Oryctolagus cuniculus: one gene and its partner. The protein of the gene in region 1 binds, or shares a complex with, the protein of each later gene. Links are inferred from orthologs where the notes say so. Each region holds a gene or a part of one and is shown on either strand. Other genes may lie near its edges.

Evidence for each region.
Region 2: the proteins of EDNRB (region 1) and EDN1 are in contact, whole or in part, in a cryo-EM structure (PDB 8XWP), measured with the Homo sapiens proteins. The link is inferred for Oryctolagus cuniculus from reciprocal best matches to the Homo sapiens genes EDNRB and EDN1. Residues at the interface, in NP_000106.1 of Homo sapiens: Pro88, Pro89, Ile94, Glu95, Ile157, Asn158, Lys161, Glu165, Asp166, Trp167, Val177, Pro178, Gln181, Lys182, Val185, Phe240, Ile243, Met245, Tyr247, Leu252, Ile254, Leu256, Leu257, His258, Pro259, Lys270, Lys273, Leu277, Trp336, Leu339; in NP_001403492.1 of Homo sapiens: Cys53, Ser54, Cys55, Ser56, Ser57, Leu58, Glu62, Cys63, Val64, Tyr65, Phe66, Cys67, His68, Leu69, Asp70, Ile71, Ile72, Trp73.

The regions. Positions count from the first base shown.
Region 1 is NC_091440.1:34,447,209-34,456,962, reverse strand, and holds the start of EDNRB (endothelin receptor type B), read right to left. Parts: upstream 5,222-9,754; 5' UTR 4,868-5,221; intron 4,297-4,867; 5' UTR 4,244-4,296; coding exon 3,764-4,243; intron 1-3,763. UniProt on the Homo sapiens protein: Non-specific receptor for endothelin 1, 2, and 3. Mediates its action by association with G proteins that activate a phosphatidylinositol-calcium second messenger system.
Region 2 is NC_091436.1:158,319,050-158,328,710, forward strand, and holds the start of EDN1 (endothelin-1 precursor), read right to left. Parts: upstream 6,395-9,661; 5' UTR 6,342-6,394; coding exon 6,278-6,341; intron 4,791-6,277; coding exon 4,622-4,790; intron 3,415-4,621; coding exon 3,256-3,414; intron 3,110-3,255; coding exon 2,996-3,109; intron 2,056-2,995; coding exon 1,953-2,055; 3' UTR 1,331-1,952; intron 1-1,330. Other genes in the region: uncharacterized protein, read left to right, coding at 6,395-6,705, 6,790-6,934, 7,731-7,842, 8,128-8,651. UniProt on the Homo sapiens protein: Endothelins are endothelium-derived vasoconstrictor peptides. Probable ligand for G-protein coupled receptors EDNRA and EDNRB which activates PTK2B, BCAR1, BCAR3 and, GTPases RAP1 and RHOA cascade in glomerular mesangial cells.

The DNA.
Region 1 (9,754 bases):
GAGAGAGACAGAGAGAAAGGTCTTCCTTCCGTTGGTTCACTCCCCAAATGGCCACTACGGCTGGCGCGCTGTGCTGATCCAAAGCCAGGAGCCAGGTGCTTCCTCCTGGTCTCCCATACAGGTGCAGGGCCCAAGGACTTGGGCCATCCTCCACTGCCTTCCCAGGCCACAGCAGAGAGCTGGACTGGAAGAGGAGCAACCAGGACAGAATCAGCTCTCCGACTGGGACTAGAACCCGGTGTGCCTGCGCAGCAGGCGGAGGATTAGCCTAGTGAGCTGCGGCACCGGCCTATACATAGGTTTTTAAATATACATTTTGGATGATTGAATTTCTTGTTTTTCATCAGGGAGGTAGCCAGTAGTATAGGCATAGCTTTAGCATGTGATGAGCAGGGTAAAGGGGCTTTTTATTTATAACATGTTAAAAGTTTATTTGAAACTATTAAACAGGTTATCTTACTAAGGTTCCATAGATACCTCTATGGCCTTAGACAAAGGATTTCAATCCCTGGCTGTACAACAGGAGACCTGGAAAGTGCACTGACTACCTGAATGTTTCCAGGGACTCAGCCCCTTGAGGGAGGCAAGGCAGGGCAGACGTGGCTCCCAAGTTTGTTAGTTTCTCACAGCAGTACTTCTGTGCCCTCCCCCCATTCCACAGCCACATCAAGGACTGTGGCTTCCAGCATTCTGAGGGATGTCAATTTTATTGAACTTTGTACTTTTGAACTCCAGATTCATGTAATAGATTCATATTGTTGTTTCTGTGCCCCTGGGCATGTAGTGTGCCAACAGAAGGGTTGAAGGACTCCAGGAACCCTCACAAATAGTACATACTATATTCTCAGAGACTATTGCTCACAAAACTAGAAATCATTAGTTTAGAGACTCAAGTTTCTCACTTTAGAATACAGTTAAATGGCATTCATGATTCTCTTAAAATTACTTGTTATGAACTATAATACTTCTCTGAAGTGTATTTTTAAAAACTTACTCTGGAGCTGCAGTGATTTGGCAGGATAAATATCTTTTTAGTAGCCCTGTATTAGGTATTTTGGTAAATAAAGCCTTTAGAATGACATCCACTATTATCATTATATGCTAGATTGTCTACAGTGGATTTCAAGAGATAGACATCCTCAAATGACCCAAATTAATTTCTGAAAAACATTCACCCAGCATCCTATTGTGTGGTACTGTGTCGCATAATGCCAGCAATGCACTTAAATGTGGTCCTGTAACACTCAAGTTTAGGGAGGGCCATGCTGTCTCTGAGTGCACTCAATGCAGTGGGATTGAGAGCATCAAGGATTCTAGGGCCAGTTGACCTTGGTTCAAGCCTAAGTTTTATCAATTTCTAGCAGTATGATGTTGGACAAGTTTCTTTACATCTCTGATGCATAGTTTCACTAGATGTAAAATAGGGTTAACAATACCTCCATAGGATTGTTGCAGTGATGTAATGAAATAAACCAAGCCCCTAGAGCATAATAGAAGGTAGCATTATCATATTATGCCTCAATTAAAACCAAAGTTCACAACATAAGATTCATCATTGGCATACTTAACTCTGGGTCCTAATTTTATGTAATGGAATTTGTTTATGGCCAATACAGATGATTATGTCACTAGATTTGTAATGACTCATCTGTTTATTTCAGAAGTAAACATATAGCTTAAATAGACTGAATGGCTTCAGGGAAAACGAAGTAACATCTTAAAGAAGAAAAGAATTTGAAAGGAAAGGAAACCTGTGTGACCCTTTTGGGAGTCAGATATTTTCTGGTTTACTGAACATACTCATGTGACCAGGCAGAAAGCAAAGTGGTCCTGAAACTGCTGATTGACACTTGATGTGGAGGCGACACACCAGGAAGGTGTCTTCAACCCCATCTTCCTCACAGCTTGTCAGCCGCTGGCTGCTTTCAGAAGGTTTGTAACTAGGATACTCAAGTGGGGTTTCCTGGGAACTCTTTAGGACTTACACAAAATTTTCAAACCTGGCAAAACTAGACTGCAATCTTCCTTTTGCAAGGGATACTGTTTTCCTTATTTTTAATTTTTCACACCACCTTGTATTCAATAGTTTCTCAATTCCATTTTGATGAATTGCCTTGAAATTCCTCTGTCAAATTAGAATGGTAGGACTTGGCCTGTGAGACTCAGTAAGAAGTAAGTGGGTCACTTCTGGCTCCAGTGGAGTTGGAACTGCCTTTAAGGGACACATGCATCAGCCCATTTCTCCAAGAAAACCCTCAGAGTTCCTCAGAAGCAACTGTCATTCATGACTGCAGGGTTTCTTCAGAGTGTCCCTCCTTTTCCGGGAGTGTGTCCCTCTAGGGCCTAGATCCTAATCCGAATCTCCTCTCTAAACCTCAGAAATGTCTGGAATTCCCTCAAAATGTGGCTATTGGGATTAGGATTTCCAGAGGTTCATGAAGGGAAGTTTACAGATATGCCTCACAGCATACTGTAAACTCACGGTAACTGCTCCCGGCACAAAGATCAAAGCATCCCCTAAAACCTTTGCCTGCCCGTTCTCCACCTTGTACTCACGACAGGGCAAATCCACAAAGTGCATCCCGTTACCTTGCATCTTGGTTGTGCTTTTACGTGCAACTCTGTAGTGCTGCTGCTGAGGGGGCAGAATTTTAAATATGTCTATAGCTCTTAAGCTGTTTTTCTTAAGCACCAGGAACCTCCCACCCCTGTAGGTAGGCACTCACAGCCTTATTGTGGAATTGAGGAAACTGAGGCCCAGATGGGCCTGGGGGGTGTTTGGAATTCCAAAGCAATCCGGAGTCAAGAAGTGTGGGTACTTATGTCCTGCTTGGCTCTTTGTGGCTGTTTCCTGGGATGTCCCTGATAATCACACAATACTGTGAACTACTGCAATCATTAGATTTTCAGTGTTCCTTGATTTCTTCCTTAAATAATCAACGGGACGCAGTCACATACTTTGCACTTTGGAATCTGGTACATTTGGGCCTGATCCCTAGCTTTCCCTCTTACTCATTGTGAGACACTGAGTGCCCTGTTTGTCATCGATTAAATGGGGATAATATCTACTTATGGGTGTGTGGAAAGAGCAAAAGAAATACGACATCTAATCTGTGGTTGGTGCACGGTAGTCGTTCAGTACAGAAGAGCTACACTCATTTACAGCAGGTGAAATGTGTTTGTCCTGCTCACTAGTCGGGGCCTCCCCAGGGCCCCAGGGTAATTTATTCCTAAAAACCCACTCCAGATCTTCTGCTTAAGGGTCCTCCAAGACTGCACTTGCCAAAGTTGGTGTGCATTTCAATCACCTGGACAAGATGCAGATTCCGATTCAGTAAGTCTGGGGTAGACTTGCATTCACAACAAACTCTCCAATGCTGTCAAGGCTGCCAGTCCATAGGTCACACCTGACTAGCCAAGCTACAGCCAGTGGGCTGGACTTGGGCACTAGATCCTCTGGGCTAGTGGTTCACCGACTTTACAGTTTATTGCAATCACCTGGAGGGCTTGTTCAATAAGAAATCGATGGGCTCTAAGCCAGATTTTCTCCTCCGTAAGGCTAGCGGTAGAGCCAGAAAAACTCTCATTTCTAGCAACTTCTCAAGTGATACTAAGGCTGCTTGTCTGGGAACGAGGCTTGTCCTGGGATTACCAAATTCCGAAGGGAATTTGGCACCAATGATTTCTGGCTTTTGCTAGCTCCCTCTAAAGGTGCTATCCCCCCTCCCATAAGCCTGCAAGGTTACTAGCAGGTGCCCTTTACCTTGTATACATTGATGGGGATGTCAATGATGATGTGCAGCAGGTCTCCTAGAGCCAGGCTGGCGATCAAGATATTGGGGCCATTTCGCATGCACTTGTTCTTGTAGATGATTCGCAGCAGTGTAGAGTTTCCGATGATGCCCAGCACGAACACGAGGCAGGATACCACAGTGTTGATGTACTTGAAAGTGTCCTTAATCTCTGTTGGTCTCTGACACGGAGGAGGGGTGCGTCGCGGGGCTCCGGCTGTCCTCCCTTCTTTGGGTATTTCAGCAGGTGCAGACGACCGTGGTAGGCTGGCGTTGGAATCCCTTGGCCAAGAGGTCTTAGTGGAAGGTGTCAGGATCTCGCTGGCTCCCAGAAGCGGTGGAGTAGCGGGGGCAGACGGCATTTCTCTCTCCTCTCCCCAGACCTCGGCCATCCCGCAGGCAAGAACCAGCGCCAGCAGGGCGAGTCCGCACAGGCTTGGCGGCGGCTGCATGCTGCTGCCTGCTTTAGCGGGGCGTCAAGTGGCAGCCCGGCAGTTTTCAGAGCCTGGAGACCGGCAGGGGAATCAAGACAGAACACTTGGGTCAGCCACTCCAGCCACGCCTCTGCAAACGCGAGCGCAGGAAGCAACTACGTAGCCACCGTCTGCGCGCAAAAGCAAAAACCAAGTTGGCGCGCCAGTGGGGAAGTTTGGCGCATCTGGCTAGGGAGCGCACGAGGGCTGAGGAATCAAAGCACCTAGTGGCCAAGGTCGTGTGCTACTCTGTAATTTGCCCTATAGGGGAACCCCGGTATCCAGGCTCTGAACTCCTAGGGTCCTCCCGGGGTGAAAGCCGCTACTCGCCGGCTGGCTGCGCTCCAGCTCCGCGAGCGCACCCAGAACTGCGCGGTAGGAATCGGGGAACCTGAGACTTGTCATCTGGGTCCCATGGCGGGGGAGGATACTGGATTAAATTGAAAACTTCTGTCCCCCTTCTAGGGGCTGCAGGCTATCCTGTACCCGCACGCTCATTTTAATTTGTTCTATCGATAAAATCCCAAACTACTAAGTCAAGTCGAGGCCCCGGGACAAGATCCGAGCGCTGGTTTTAATGCAACACCAAGCCAGAATATTTACCTCGCGGAACGGAGGCAGCAGGCGCAGAGCGACAAGAGAGGACCTCCTTCCCGGAGCTGCAACGGAGGCACGCTTGGCTCGCAGTTGGGTTCCAAGCCTAAATGCGCAGGGAGCAGAGCACGCCTCCCTCCAGCTGCAGGCGGGTCTGGCTCTGAAGGAAGGCGGAGAGAATGCCAGACAGCGAAACGTCCGGGGCTTGCTCGGGGTCTCTGCTGTCCCCAGACAAGTACTTTTATTCATTCGTCGCTTCCCCATCAATCACCGCCTGACTCCTCCCGCGCCTTCCGATCGCGCCACAACCTTTCCCCTGGGCGATGCCTGGACAGCATCAGCGGCAGAGGGGCCGTCTGTGGCCGGGGCGCTTCCCCAGAGGCTGTTTATTTGTCAAAGAGAAGCCCAAATCCAGAATGGGTCGTCACGCGCCTCACGGCACTCTGAGGCTCTGGACTAGAACCGGGCTCTTGTATTAATCGGGACAGTCAATGCCTACTCTGACTTTTGTTGCAGATAAAGGTGCCTGCCGCTGTGATATTTAGGAACTGGATGGTTGGGGGGGGGGTGCTGCTCTTGGCTCCGTTTTTGTTGCGCTCTAAGTTTCAACATGAAAGAAGAGCTTTTTTCTCAGGCCATCTCCCTGGCCCCTAAAGGACTGAGAAGTCCTCCTTCATTAACTGTAGCACAGCTATTGTCCTCTCTTCCTGCGGCGTCCTGAGTGCTACTGCCAGGTCAACTCTGGGATTTTTATACAGTGCCCATCAGGACCCGACACCTGTAGGAGACAGGAAGAAAACCAGAAAGCCGCCTTGTAAATTGAACAGTATATTATCAGGCAGAACAATCAAACGCATTCTTCGTGGCTGGCAGTTTTGCCTAAAGAGCGTGTTAAAGAGCATTCAGAAACTTGGGCTGTGAGATGCACTTGCTATTCCTCTTCTGTCTTCCAGCCGGTGAATCCCTAGTCCAGCAGTGCAGTTTCCTTCCCAGAAGGACCTGCTGCCCAGAGACAAGGTGCCTGGCTCTTTCCTTCATGGCTGGTTAATGGCATGGGTGGGACCTTGGGGTTCTGGCTGGTACACAGTGCTTTCTGGGGAAAATGGAAGTAGAAAATCAATTGCTTTGTGTTTAAATAGATGAACTTTCAATGTGAAATATGATTAAGAAAATGGCGGAGGAGTAAGGATAAAAGATTAGAAATAGGCCTAGGGTTGTGATTCCCAGTTCCAAATCTGGCTGTGTTGATCACAGCCCTTATTCTCCCTGTCAACATTCCATTGCTTCAAAGCTGAGCCAGGCAACAAAAGGTTGGGTGGATGAGAAATGATAAGAGAGCACTTGGAATATGACTGTTGCTCAGCTGGCTCCTCCAAAGGCAGGTTGGAGCCTGTCCTTCCTACCTAAGCCTCTTCCCTTCAAGTATATGCCTCCTGTGGGGCAGCTTTTCTCTCTCCCCAAGCACCCTCTCAACTCCATCCCCAACTCCATTCATAGTCCCTCCCCCGAGTTCTGGGTGTTATAATCTTCACTGATGCTTCCCTCTTCCCCTTTCTGATAACACTTTTTGATTCTCAGCCACAAGTAAGCACTTGACCATGTAGAGACTTATATGGGTCACTATTGATTTCATGTGAATCAATTTCTTTTTTCAGGATAGGGGCTGAATTATATGTTCCTTTTGTTCCATTGAAATACCTTCCACAAGTTGGGCTCAAAAATATTTTGTAATTTGTAATTTTGTATTTGTAATTTTTGTAATTATAATTTGATAATTATATTTTAAGTTATTTAATTCTATTTTGGTAATTCTAGGGATCAACAACAAAGCCAAATACTTTTAAGTAAAACATTCTTCATTTAGAATTTAAAAATATGCTACTGGCTACCCATTACAGGGTTCTATTACCTATTTAAGTGTTCCATCTGCTGACTGACTCCCAAAATTTGAAAGGTGGGGAAGGGGGAGGAGAGAGGGAGAGGAGAGAGGGGAGAGGGGAGAGGGGAGAGGGGAGAGGGGAGAGGGGAGAGATCAGTGTTCCATCTGCTGAATGACTCCCAAAATGGCTACAATTGCCAGATCTGGGCCAGGTCCAAACCTGGAACTCCACCATGGTTTCCCACATAGGTACGGGGCCTAAGCACTTGGGCCATCTTCTGCTGCCTCCCTAGTCCCATAATAGAGAGCTGGATCAGGTGATCGGCACCGGAATCTGAACCAGCACTCTGATATAGGATGCCGTCATCACAAGTTGCAGCTTAACCTGCTGCCCCACAATACTGGCCCCCGGCCCCTGGAGCTAAGATTTGAATCTGTGTCTATCTGGTTACACAGACTGCACTTTTACTTAACAAAACCACATGCAGTCTAGATAGATTTTTTTTTTTACCTTGAGAAAGCAATGTTTTAAACATTAGTAGCATTTAATTGCAGTTTATCATTTAAATGTTTCACCTCAAAATGTATGTAAAACTGATCATGTAACATGTAAAGATTTACAATTTGATCTTCATGGATGGCCATTATCAAGTCTAGGAACTGATCTCCGTCTCAGGTTCCCCTTTTGGAAAATGAGAGAAATCGTTAGAATTAAAGTTGCCTGTTGGCTCTAATAAATCAATCAGTCTCACAAACTTGACCTGTTAGAGTGGCTTGAGGTGCAGAAGTGCAGAAAAGTGGGAACAAATCTTTGGACAGATCTTTTATTTTTTTTTTTAACTCATGCCTTGAAAAATACTGCTACCAATACAAGTTTTTACTCTGTGTCTTGAAATGCCTTAATGATAAACTTTACACATAAACTTGCCAGTAGTTAGGTTCCTTGTAAATTTTATTGGTATATGAAGATACTTCAAAAAGCTTACGGAAAAATGAAATTTAAAGGTAAGTTTAAGGGCTGGCACTGTGGCACAGCAGGTTAATCTGCAGCATGCAGGGCTGGCATCCCATATGGGTGCAAGTTGGAGTCTTGGCTGCTCCTTTTCTGAATCAGCTCCCTGCTAATGTGCCTGGGAAAGCAGCAGCAGATGACCCAAGTGCTTGTGCCCCTTTGCCCACATGGGAGAACCAGAAGAAGCTCTGGGCTCTTGGCTTCAGCCTGGCACAGCCCTGGCTGTTGCAGCCATCTGGGGAGTGAACCAGCAGATGGAATATCTCTCCATCTCTCATTTTCTCTATATCTCTGTAATTCTGCCTTTCAAATGAATAAATAAGTAAATAGATCTTAAAAATGATAAGTTTAGGGGCTGGCACTCTGCTGTGGCAGGTAAAGCCACCATCTGCTGTGCCAACATCCAATATGGGTGCTGGTTTGAGTCCCGGCTGCTCCACTTTCAATCCAGTTCTCTGCTATGGCCTGGGAAAGCAGTAGAAGATGGACCAAGTCCTGAACCCGTGTAGGAGACCAGGAAGAAGCTCCTGGCTCCTGGCTTCGGATTGGCGCAACTTTGGCCATTGCAGCCAGGTTGAGCAGTGAACCAATGAATGGAAGACACCCCCCCCCCCCCGCCTCTCTTCTCTCTGTGTAACTCTGACTTTCAAATAAATAAATAAATCTTTTAAAAATGATGTTTATTTTGGTGCAAAATATTTTATAATCCTTGCACAGTTTTTTCATGATACCCAGTTTTCTATGTACTTTTTAAAGTAGTCACATATATTAAGTACCACATATATGAAGTACCCACATATATGTTAAAATATTTTTCCAAAAACTTTGAGGTTCGAAATAATTTTGTGCTTATGAAGGTTTTTTTTTTTTCCCTAGGTAAATGTGCCATCTTTCAAAAAGCTGCTTTTCTGTAGACACTTTTGCAAAGTGAAGTTTTAGGAAATCTGCCGAAATTCCAGATTGGCTAAGATCACCTCTCAAAAGACTACAAGGTGGTGAGAGGCAATGTCCCAATATCCCCTTTAAATGCTGCAACTAGATGGCCCTGAAGACAGGATTGAATGCACTTCAGAATGAGTTCCTCAAAGAGGTTTACCATAGGGAGCTTGCCCAAAGCAAACCTTCTCCCCTGGTAAGAGAACAAAGAAAAGCCCTTTTAGCCACAAAACCCCCCAATGCTTTCATGTAATCCTCTTGATATGAATGCACCCTTTGAAACCTACCTTGAACTCTAAATCATGAATGCTGAGGGACAAGGTGTGTGAAAAATGCAGAAAGGGTTGGTTCAATTGCTTCTCCACACTTTCCCTTAGGACTAGATCCAATGATCAAATAGTGGTTGAAGTAAGAGCATAAAAAAGATTTGAAGTGACTGCATGAATCAATAGCACTCAGCATGAACCTTTCTATTTCTTGTATTTTTCTCTTGTATTAAGTGATTTTAGTTATTTGGTCTTTATGGTTAAGAGTTTTTTATAATTGAAGTATAATGCATATAAAGCTAAATGGACAGGGCTTAAGCATGTAATTTGAAGAGTTTAGACAAATGTCAATACCTCTGTGATCCATACCTAAGGAACATTTTGGAAAGGCATTTATTCTTCTAAAGTAGAAAAATTTGAATATTCTGGATTTGGACACTATTTGTTAGGATGTTACTTCTATTTTCTCAACCTTCAAAACATTTATTAACTTCTATAAGTGATGCATGAATTAGAGGTATGCTTAAAAATGAATCTATTATTTGAAATTTTAATTAATGATTGCTTGATAATGTATGGCCGATGCCCCTAAAATAGTGAATGAGTGATACACATGATAACTAGATGGCCACATTTTCTTTTTCAGTGTTACTATGATCTACTTCAATTTAAAGGTAATGATTTGTTCTCCTGCTTAGGATTAAGTAGTTATTAATTCGTTATTTTTATATTCATTTCTTTGTTGTATTTTTTACACCAGTCTCAGAGAAAGAAAACTAAAATGAGTGCAACCTGGTCTACAA
Region 2 (9,661 bases), on another chromosome or scaffold:
GGAAGGGTGGACGCTCAGCCCTGGCCTGGGCCCTGCACACCCAGAGGCTGTGGTTTGACTTCCTTCTGATGTGGCACTGCTGGCACTGCAGTGATCACCAGTGGTCACCCTGGGCTAATATTTGCAGAATGCCAGGCATTCTTTCGCCTACTGCCGGGGATGGGCGGTAGGGATTCTTACAGGCTGACCAAGCTCGCAAGGGCTTCTCTCTGCCAGGAAGGCCCCTTCACAATAATGTTCTACCCAATATTTTGGCATAGTGGAGAGAATGGGGCTGCTGGGCAGCAGGTGACCTGAAATTAGCACCTGGTGCATCTAGCTCCATGGGCGAGTGGCCAGTCCCGGGCTACCACAAAGGCACCGGGCTGTTCATTGCCCTTTGAAAGAAAAAATTCTTAAACTGAGCAAATAAAAAGCCACAGAGAGCTACTGCTTGCACGAAGCAGGCAGGCCACCTTCTAACAACAACCCTGGTGCGGAGTGGTGTATAATGTGGGTGGGGGGGGGGGCAGGAGTCAGCTTGCATTTGCTTCCTGCATGCACTCACCACGCCATCCGCTTCAGCCATCTGATCTGGCCTAATAGAGCGAGCAGAGTTAATGGATGAAGTCCCTGGGGAGATTCAGGCAAAGGGGAAAGAGAGGGCTGCTATGCGAGGGACGACAGAGGTGTTAGAGCTGGCTTCTTGTTTTCCATTGGTTTCACTTTAATGCAATCTACAAGCAACTTTTAAGATCTACATCAACTCCTTTTTTTTTGATTAGCTTAAACTATTTTCCTTCTGCCACATTTATAAGCAGCCCTTTTTACATTTCTTACCACTTGGTCCCACTCCTTAACAAATTTCAGAAACAATTCAAAAATCAGTTTGATAGGGACAAAAATATTTATTTTCTAAAGTCATTACCTTGATAGGCAAAACAAAGCATTTTCTTAATTTCATTCAGAAATACATTTTTTAAAAAAATACATGGACCAATATGGCCTGCCCAAACATATATTTAACATGGTAAATATAAGGAATGAATTGCTCGAATATAAATATCTATAAAAAAATAAGTACATCAAAATTCAATCCAACCTCTTCCATTACCCGGTTACATAAAGGACAACAATTTTCCTGCTTTAAAGAATAACCAGCAGTGACTTTCCAATATCTTTCATAAACAACCCTACAACCATTTTTTTTTTTCCAGAAATCAAGGTCAGGGAATCTCCTGAATCAAGGATCTTTTTTTCCTGATGTATGGGAGCTAGCAGATTACCATGAGAACGTGAAATCCACCATTGACTGACATGTGGGACCAGACTTCCTTGAGTTCAGTATGGGGGCTCAGGAGGGAGAGAGTTTGGGGAGGCAGTCATGAGTGCAATAGAGGTGAGGTAGACTCATTCATGAAACACATCCTGATTTGCAGTAGTAACAGTTTCAGTTTTGCATTTTATGAATCAAAAAAAAAATACAGAGTCTTTCTTTTTAACTTGAGTGCTTGTCCTTTGAGTGTGTTTTCAATTTGTGCATTCCTTAGCAAAATCGTTGCGTGGACTCTGCAGTGCCTCCCTGAAATGTGCCGGGTGCCTGAGTCAGGCACAAACACTTCCACAGGACCTTCTTCAGCAACTCCACCCTGATCCTGCTGGAGGCTGGCACCCTAGCTCCAAAGGCACTGTGTGTCTCTGCCTTCTGAGAGGTCTACTACCATCCCCGAGCCACAGAGGAGACCCGAGCAGTTCCTGCCGTAGGAAGCCAAGGAAGACAGGTGCGAGCACTCCTTGGTCTCTCCTGGGACGTTCAGAATAAGGACGCTGGTTCTCCACCCGGCTGGAAGAAGATACAGTCTGACAGGGAGACAGCTCCAGCTCTGGTCCCAGGCAGTGAGGGAAGAGAAAGAGCGAGTGAGAGAGTGAGCAGAGTCAGCCACACGGCTCCGACAGGCCCAGGAGATCGGTCATCAATGTGTCCGGTTGTGGGTCACTTTCTGCTCTCGGTGGAGCTGGGCTCTCAGCTGGGCAGCATGAAAAGATGTCTTGATGCTGTTGCTGATGGCCTCCAACCTGTCCACCCAAGACAAGGGAAGAGAACTGTTAGCTACAACTCACTCCTGGACTAAAGAAGCATCTAACATTAGCATCTGACACAAGAATAGGAATCTGTTCCTCTATTCCTGTGTTTACCACTGACCTCCACAGCATGCTAGCAGTGATAAAACCTCAAGAGGTATCTATTACCATTGTGAAAATAAAGCCCGCCCTCTAGGCTTTGAATGGAGGTGAGGGTCTTAAGGTCATGGCCAAGGGGAACTGAGCGCCAAGTGTGATTTTAAAATAGATGCTCTCAATTCCTCTGCAGCCCCATCCCAGTCTCAACCACTGTGGGACCCTGTACACAGACAGGCAGCACAGGTATCAACAACCCCCACCTGAGACTGACTACAAACCCAGAGAGTCTCTGGAATGACATGGGCTGGCCACCAAATGCATTTCCCTAATTTAAAATAAATAAATAAGCAAACCCAAAAGACAGCATGTTCTAAATCTCACCAACCCTGCCTAATGACTTCACTTTCCCTTTGGCCATTTGAATAACTGCTGATTTTTGAAGACCTTGATGATACAAGACACTTTGAGTTTTTCTGTTTTTTTCTTTTATGTCCTTTCCCTGACATGATTTTTAACTTGTCAAGGAAAGAAGTAAATGCACGGACTCCGAGAGGCAACATCTGACTGTGACCAAATGACAGACACATCTCTGACATGCTTTGTTTGGAAAATCCACATGTTGACTGAAGGGGCTGTGCCCCAAGCACAGGGAGCAGCAATCAAGGCTTTGTGAAAATATTCGAGAGGGAATTCTCTACTCTGTTTCATCTCGTGAATTCCAAGATCCCTTTTCTTGCTGTCTTGGAGGTTTTCTGCCCAGCTAGGTAAATGGTTCAAGGGCAGAAAGGATGCCAGCATCGGTGCCCAAAAATAAATTTTGTGCAGAGTCTCTTACCTTCTTATTTTTCTCCCTTGCATCAGCTTTTGAAGAATACACTTCTTTCCAAGCTTGGAGCAGTCTTTGCCTTTCTTAAGGTTGTTCCTGCCTTTCTCCATAGTCTCTTGGGCTCTGTGAAAACACACAGGAAAAACATCTTCAGTTTCATCCTGCCTCTCAACATCAGTTACTCTCTCTCAAGCAAGGAGGTGTCCTTATCCTAGGAAAGAGGTCGGGAGACTTAACCCTGATTGAACAGCAAAGCTGCTCCTACTCACCTGAGTTCCGTTCCTGCTTGGCAAAAATTCCAGCACTTCTTGTCGTGTGGGCTCGTGCACTGGCACCTGTTCTTGTGGTACGCTGCCCTGGTAGGAAATAAATCCTTCAAGGATCGCTTGGACCTGGACGGGCTTCCAAGTCCATACGGGACGATGTGCCTGTGATGGAGAGAAAAGAGCAAAACACGTCAGCATCATCAATAGTCTTTAAAACAGCCACATTCTTTGGGGTGAGTTCATTCCATTGGGCACACACAGAGCTACAGCACTTGGGAGCAGTAACTTAGGAGACTCAAGGGTGGCCACACGCCCTTCCAATGCCCTGAGTGTGTGTACCCAGCCGGGAGAAAACCCCAGCTGCTGATTCAATGAGGCTCCTTTTCAACTCTTAACAAAGTTCAGTTACTTCTCCAGACCAGCAGCTGGTTTTGGTCTAAAATTATGGGATCTTTGCTTTGGTGTCCCTTGTATATTGGGGGGACAGATGGCAGAAAGCATAATGCAAAACCATAACTCATAAGATTTGTAAAACCTACTGTCCTGTGAATCAGGTATGATATAATGTATGTTTCCACACATCACATGACTGCAGGAGACCCTCTGGTACTTTCTAAGGGGACTCCTTGAATTGTCCCCTGAGGAGTAAAAAGTGCCCCCACCCCCAACGCCTTGACAGTTTCACCTCACTAAGTATTAGGCTCTTTGTGGTTGGATCGGATTGGATTTGGGTTTTGGCTGTTCTTTTCCATAATGGGACATGGACGGGATAGACAAGTGAAAGGGTCCCTGCTTATAACTGGTCTTCACTCTGCAGGGGGGAGAGGAACCCACGGGCTGCATGCCTCTCTTCGCCTGGAAATGAGCTTTTCTATGGATAGAAAGGGGACAGGACCCAGGATCCAGTCCTAGCTCTGCCTCATGCCGGCACAGGTGGCCTCCGACACGAAGGTCTTTTCCTAGAAGTAAGATGAAGGGTTTGGATTCTGCTCCCCAGGCGCCCTTCTGCCTGTGTCTCTGCCCAGCTGTGAGAAGCACAGGCTGGGCTAAGGCAGCTAGGATCCGGAGACTCTTCCACCAAGCCCTGTGACAGCCTGCTCAGACAGCTCCCTTCTGGGAGGGTTCTCCTCTGCAGTTCCGCATAGCGGCTCCCTGCTTGGCCTCAGCACCTTGCACCCCGTCTCCCAGGGACCAGTCTCAGCCACAGAGGCCTCAGAAGACCCTGCGAATTGCAGGACACAGAAGGCCACTCTCAGAAGCCAAGCCGGGAGCTCCCCCGAGAAAAGGGTACACCCGGGACCCGCGCTTCAGCTTCCGCGGAGCCAGAGCTCAGGAATGACTGGAGCCACGACGCCCCCTAGGGACTCACCCGGGGGTGTTGACCCAGATGATGTCCAGGTGGCAGAAGTAGACGCACTCCTTGTCCATCAGCGAGGAGCAGGAGCACCGCTTGGAGCGGCGCGGCCGCCAAGGTGCGCTGGCCGGGGGCTTCTCCCCTGGGTTTTCCGCTCCTGTGCTGAGCTCCGTGCCCGAGGCCGCTGTGGAGAGAAGGCGCACATCAGTCCAGATCTGGCGGGGCAGGCACGCGCGGGGGCGGCATAGCACCTGCTGCAGCAGCAGGGGCAGCCAAGGGGCTCTTTACTTTTTTCTTTCCTTGACACCACCTCGCTCTACCCACTGCTGGCTTATCCACCTTCCCACGAATGACAGGGAAGCAGAAGAGACAAACTCCTATAAAAGGGACTTCGCCAGCCCGTCTGCAGCAGCCGTCAAGGCAATGCTGCCAGCTGGGGGCTTGGGTGGGCTTCTGCACTGGCCGCTGACTGAAAACCAGTACATCGCTGCTCTATTCCTGGTACAGGAGCCGCTCCCTCATTGCAGATGAGCCACTTCACACCTTGTGTAAGGGTCTGGGGTCGGTATCCACACCTCTGGAAATTAGGCAGGGGGCAAAGAGCCCTGGGGAAGTGATGGGGAGAGGGAGAAGAAGGGAAGCGAACACAATATCCCCTTCACTGCAGAAGCCAGCGAGCTCCTCCGAGAAGCAGCTGGTGCACCTGGAGAGAGCGCTGCGCCTCTGGAATTCAGAATCCACGGAGCCGCGGCGCCAGGCTTGTGTGGGATCTACCGCCTCCCCCTCGGGGGCGCAGCCCTGCGCATCCCACCAACCATCCAACAGCCATGCCGCTTATCTGCCCGATTCGGTACATTTCAAATGATCAGACACATTCCTGGATTTTCATCCCCTTGACACCCTTTCTCTTTTGTCAGGGTTATGAAAAGTCCCCAAAAAAGTGCGCTGACCCTAAAAAATTAGGGGTAAGGGGGCGGCGGCGGGGAGACGCACCGCGGTACTGCCTAAATCCTTAAGTAACCAAGAATGATCCCTGCTCCCAACCCAGGACAGGTGAACACAACCGAAAATAGAGCTCACACTGTTGGGAGTGCCAAAAATCTGCCAAAAGGAAATCTAAAGTCAATAATGACAAATAATAAAAAAAAAAAAATCTGCTTCACCCCGAAACTCCCCGCGGAGGCGGGGGGAGGGAGTGCTTAATCAACAGACTTTGTTCGGCAAGTAGTATTTTACTGCTCACATATTGCTTGAATGACTTGAATAAAAGTTCTTGGCTGCAAGCTGGAATGTTGAAATATTGCACACTTTCACACAGCTGAAACAGCGCGTGTTTGTTCTAAGTACCTGCACGAACACCTATATGGCAAAATACACCCTCGACTGCGTCCTAGCTTCTCCATACCCGCTCTGCATTATTTAATTTTACAGCCAAGCCAATGCATTATGCAAGAACAACTTAAAAAATCAGAAGTCATTTTCATGCTCCGCTATACTCGGTGGAGGAATTTTCTTACTTTCCCTGGAACACTTGGGCAGCTCCGAGCAGTGCTCGTCAGGCACTTGCTATCTAAGCGTTAGTAATAAAAAGAAAACAGAAGCAAGAAATGCATTCAGTGGAGTAGAGACATTAACCTGCACAGGGGGTTGCAAGTCCGCGTGCGTGCCTACCTGTCTCGGGAGCTCCATGGAAAGCCACCAACAGCAGAGAGACCATCATGGAGAAGTAATCCATTCTGAAAAAGGTCTAAAAAAAAATCTCCGGCAAACTGAACCCAAAAGCAGACGATGAAAAACAGCCTCAGCGCTTCTCGTGGCTCGGATCCTCGGCCCGGGCTCCGGTCCCGGGGAGAAGAGGCCACCGGTGCTCGGAGCGCAGGCGGCGGGCGCGGGGCGCACGCGGCGCGGAAGGCGGCGGCGGAGCAGCGCGGGGACGCAGCGAGGACCCGGGACACTCGCCTCGGCGCAGCTGCAGAGGCGCGTCTGGCTTGGACAGCTCTCGGCCGGCTTTTTATATTGAACCCCTATAGCGTGGGGGTAAACAGCTCCAACTTTATTCCAGCCCCAGACAATGTTATTGTGTTATTAGTCACCGCCAGGCAACGTGCAGCCGGAGATAAGGCCGGGCCCGAGAGGAAATCGCTGCAACTTCAGAGGCGGACGCCCGCCGTCTGACAATTCAGGGGCGGGCTCACAGAAACAAAATACCCATTAGAGACCTTTGGTAAACCTGCCCGTGCGGCGCTGCAGTCTGCTTCCCCTTGTGCGAGCTGCCAGCCCGGGAGTCCAAGAATCAGAAGAGGGACTACAGCAGAAGTCATACCATTGGTATGAAAAGTATGAGCCACGGTTTAAATAGATTGTATTGTTGTGTGCAGGGGGATTTTTTTTCTTCATTGTTGTTCACTTCATTTTCCTTTTATGTCTCGGGCAAACAAGGGGACGCTCTCCTGCTTGCCTCCCCGCCTCCCCCGCCCCGGGGGTCCAACGATCTGGGCCGAGCAAGGTGCATTTCTCTCCCTGCCAGCCCCTACCCCCAAGTCCTTTGGGGATTAAAGTTCTTGCGCGGCGACGGAGAGGAAGATCAGGGAGGGACTGGCAAAGGAGGGGCGTAATAAAAACATCAGAGCTACTCAGACACATGCCCCCTTTTTTGTTTTATTGTCCACCTATTTGAAGACCCCTCCCCCCAAACTCTCTCTTCTGCGCCCCGGACCGGACCCACAGTACCGCTCTTAGAAAAATGGGGCGACAGGGACGCCAGGGGGCGATCAAGAGCCACAGGGGCTGCAGTTGTGTTTTAGGACAAAAAAGTGAAACCCGCGGCTGCGGCCGGCGACGGGGACCGAGGGAGCGCGGGGGGGGCGGGGGGGCGCGGGAAAGGAGCGCGCGCTCCAGCCCCCTCCCCACCCCCCCACTCCCACTCCCCGGCTTCCTCGCCCAGGACCTCGTTCCTGCTTCTCGGTTTCCCCTCGGCTTTCCCATGGGACCACCACCAGGGTGCCCCCACCCCAAGGGGTCCGGTGATCCGCAGGGAAGGTGGCGTTGGGCCGGGGACGGGATCGGATCCTGCCTCTCCTGTTGACATGTTCAAAGCAGCTGCCTGTCTGTCTCACCTTGACAGAGCCCTGGCGGTGCCCACGGGGCAGCCGCCGCGCAGGTAACAGCACGCCTTGCTGAAGAAGGCGAAGCGCCCACGTCGGACGCCGCCCCTTTCAAGGGGCTCCATTTTCCAGGTGAGAAAACGGAGGCACCCAACAGAAGCCAGCGCGCCACCAGGCTTCTCAGAGGGCGCCCCCAGGGAGACCTGCGTGGGTCCAGGCAGTCTTCTTCTCCAGCGCCTCCCCAGCACCCGGGACCCTGCGGGACACACTTCCTCCGTGTCCTCATCTCGTTCCACTCCTTTTCTCCCTGGCGCGGCAGCCCGCGCGGGCCCGTTTCCAGGGGTCTCTCTACCCAGGAGGGTCCCCCGGGGCCACCGCCTCACCACCTAAAAGTCCAGGTTTCCTCCCCGCACCCAGGCCCTCCCTGGAGTCAGACGCAGGCCGCCAAGCCACAGCAGCGGGTTCAGGCTCCTAATGCGCTCTGGTGCTGCCACCCAATCCCCGGGGACCCGGACCTGGGGCGCTCGGCCTCAGCCCAGCCCACTGCCGGCTTCGACTGGACGCAGTACCTGGGGAAGGAGACACGAGGGGACCTGATGTCATGTGCACGAGACCCAGGCCTCCCTCCACTGCCCACCCTGAAGACCCACCTGGCCGGGGGGCTCCTCCCCGGAAACGGCCACCCGCCGTCCCCAGGATCCCGGGGACCCGGGTCCTGCCTAGGCTGCCCTCCTGCTGGGGCGCCCGCCTCGCCCCCACCTGGCCGAGGCCGCCCCTGCAGGTGCCAGCGGCGGCACCGGCGCCCAAGTAGAGAAGAGTGGGAGGAAACCTGCCCGCGCGCTCCCCTCTCGGGCTGTCCGTGTCATCCCCTTGACTCTATTGGATTTGAAATCACAAAATGCGGGCCGCGATCCGCCACCAGCCGGGCCTCCCGCAGCTAGGTGAAATTAGGCAGGACCTCAGATTCGGGAGGGCCACCTGGCTCCCAGGAGAACGTCGCCCGCCTCGCTTGAACCCCCGAGCGCCCTAGACGCGGGCGCGAGTGCTCCTGCGTGCGTGGATTTCATGTCTCTCTGGGCGCGCGCGTTGGGGAGAGGGGCGTCAGTCTTGCTCTCGGGTTTCAGCCTCCTTCTCCTCCTCGGAGAGGAAGAAGAAACCCCGCGCAAGCCCAGGGAAGGCGGCTCCGGCCTCCCAGCCAGCAAGTTCCCCAAGAATCAAGGGACAGGGGGTAGAACCCCAGCAAACCCGTTTTACCAGTTGGGGGATCCCACTCTTCCCTGAGCTTCAGGCCTTGCTGGAGACGGAGGTAGGAGAAGGGGAGGTGAAATGAGCCGGACAGAGGACCAGGTGCTCTGGTTTGATGGCCAAGGAGGTGCCTGCACAGCCCCCAGCCCCAGCCCTCAAAGCGGCAGAGAGGTCACCCCCAGGGGAAGCGGGACTGGAAGGAGTGGAGATGGTGTCTTTCCTGCAGCAGAACGGTTCTCTGTAACTCTTTTGCTTTTATGTTACACTTGCATGCTGGAAACGGGTTGATAAAGCTGCTTTTTATGTATTTCTTCCTGTATCTCTATGTATTAATAGATATCTATAAATAAAGCAGCCTGAGTCCCAAATACAGATGCTACACAGTAGCAGAGTGTACTGCCTTTAGCACTCTTTCCTTTGCTCTCTCTCAACTTGTGCGTAAGAAAACTTGCAGCTTTGCCAAGCTGAGGGATTTGGTAAGAGATGTTGCATTTAGCTCAGTGAGGACCGTAGGCATTAGATTGCCGGGCAATAGCACAGAAAGGGGCACTTGGTTGCTGTAGGCAAGGGTAAGGCCTGGTCCCAGCCCTGCTGGTGACTGTCTTCCATCCTCCTGTATGTCACGCTCTTGTGAAAAATCGTGCAGTACTGTCGTGATGCCTGTGACACGTTGCACACCTCCAAGAGTGCTGAACAAACATAGCTT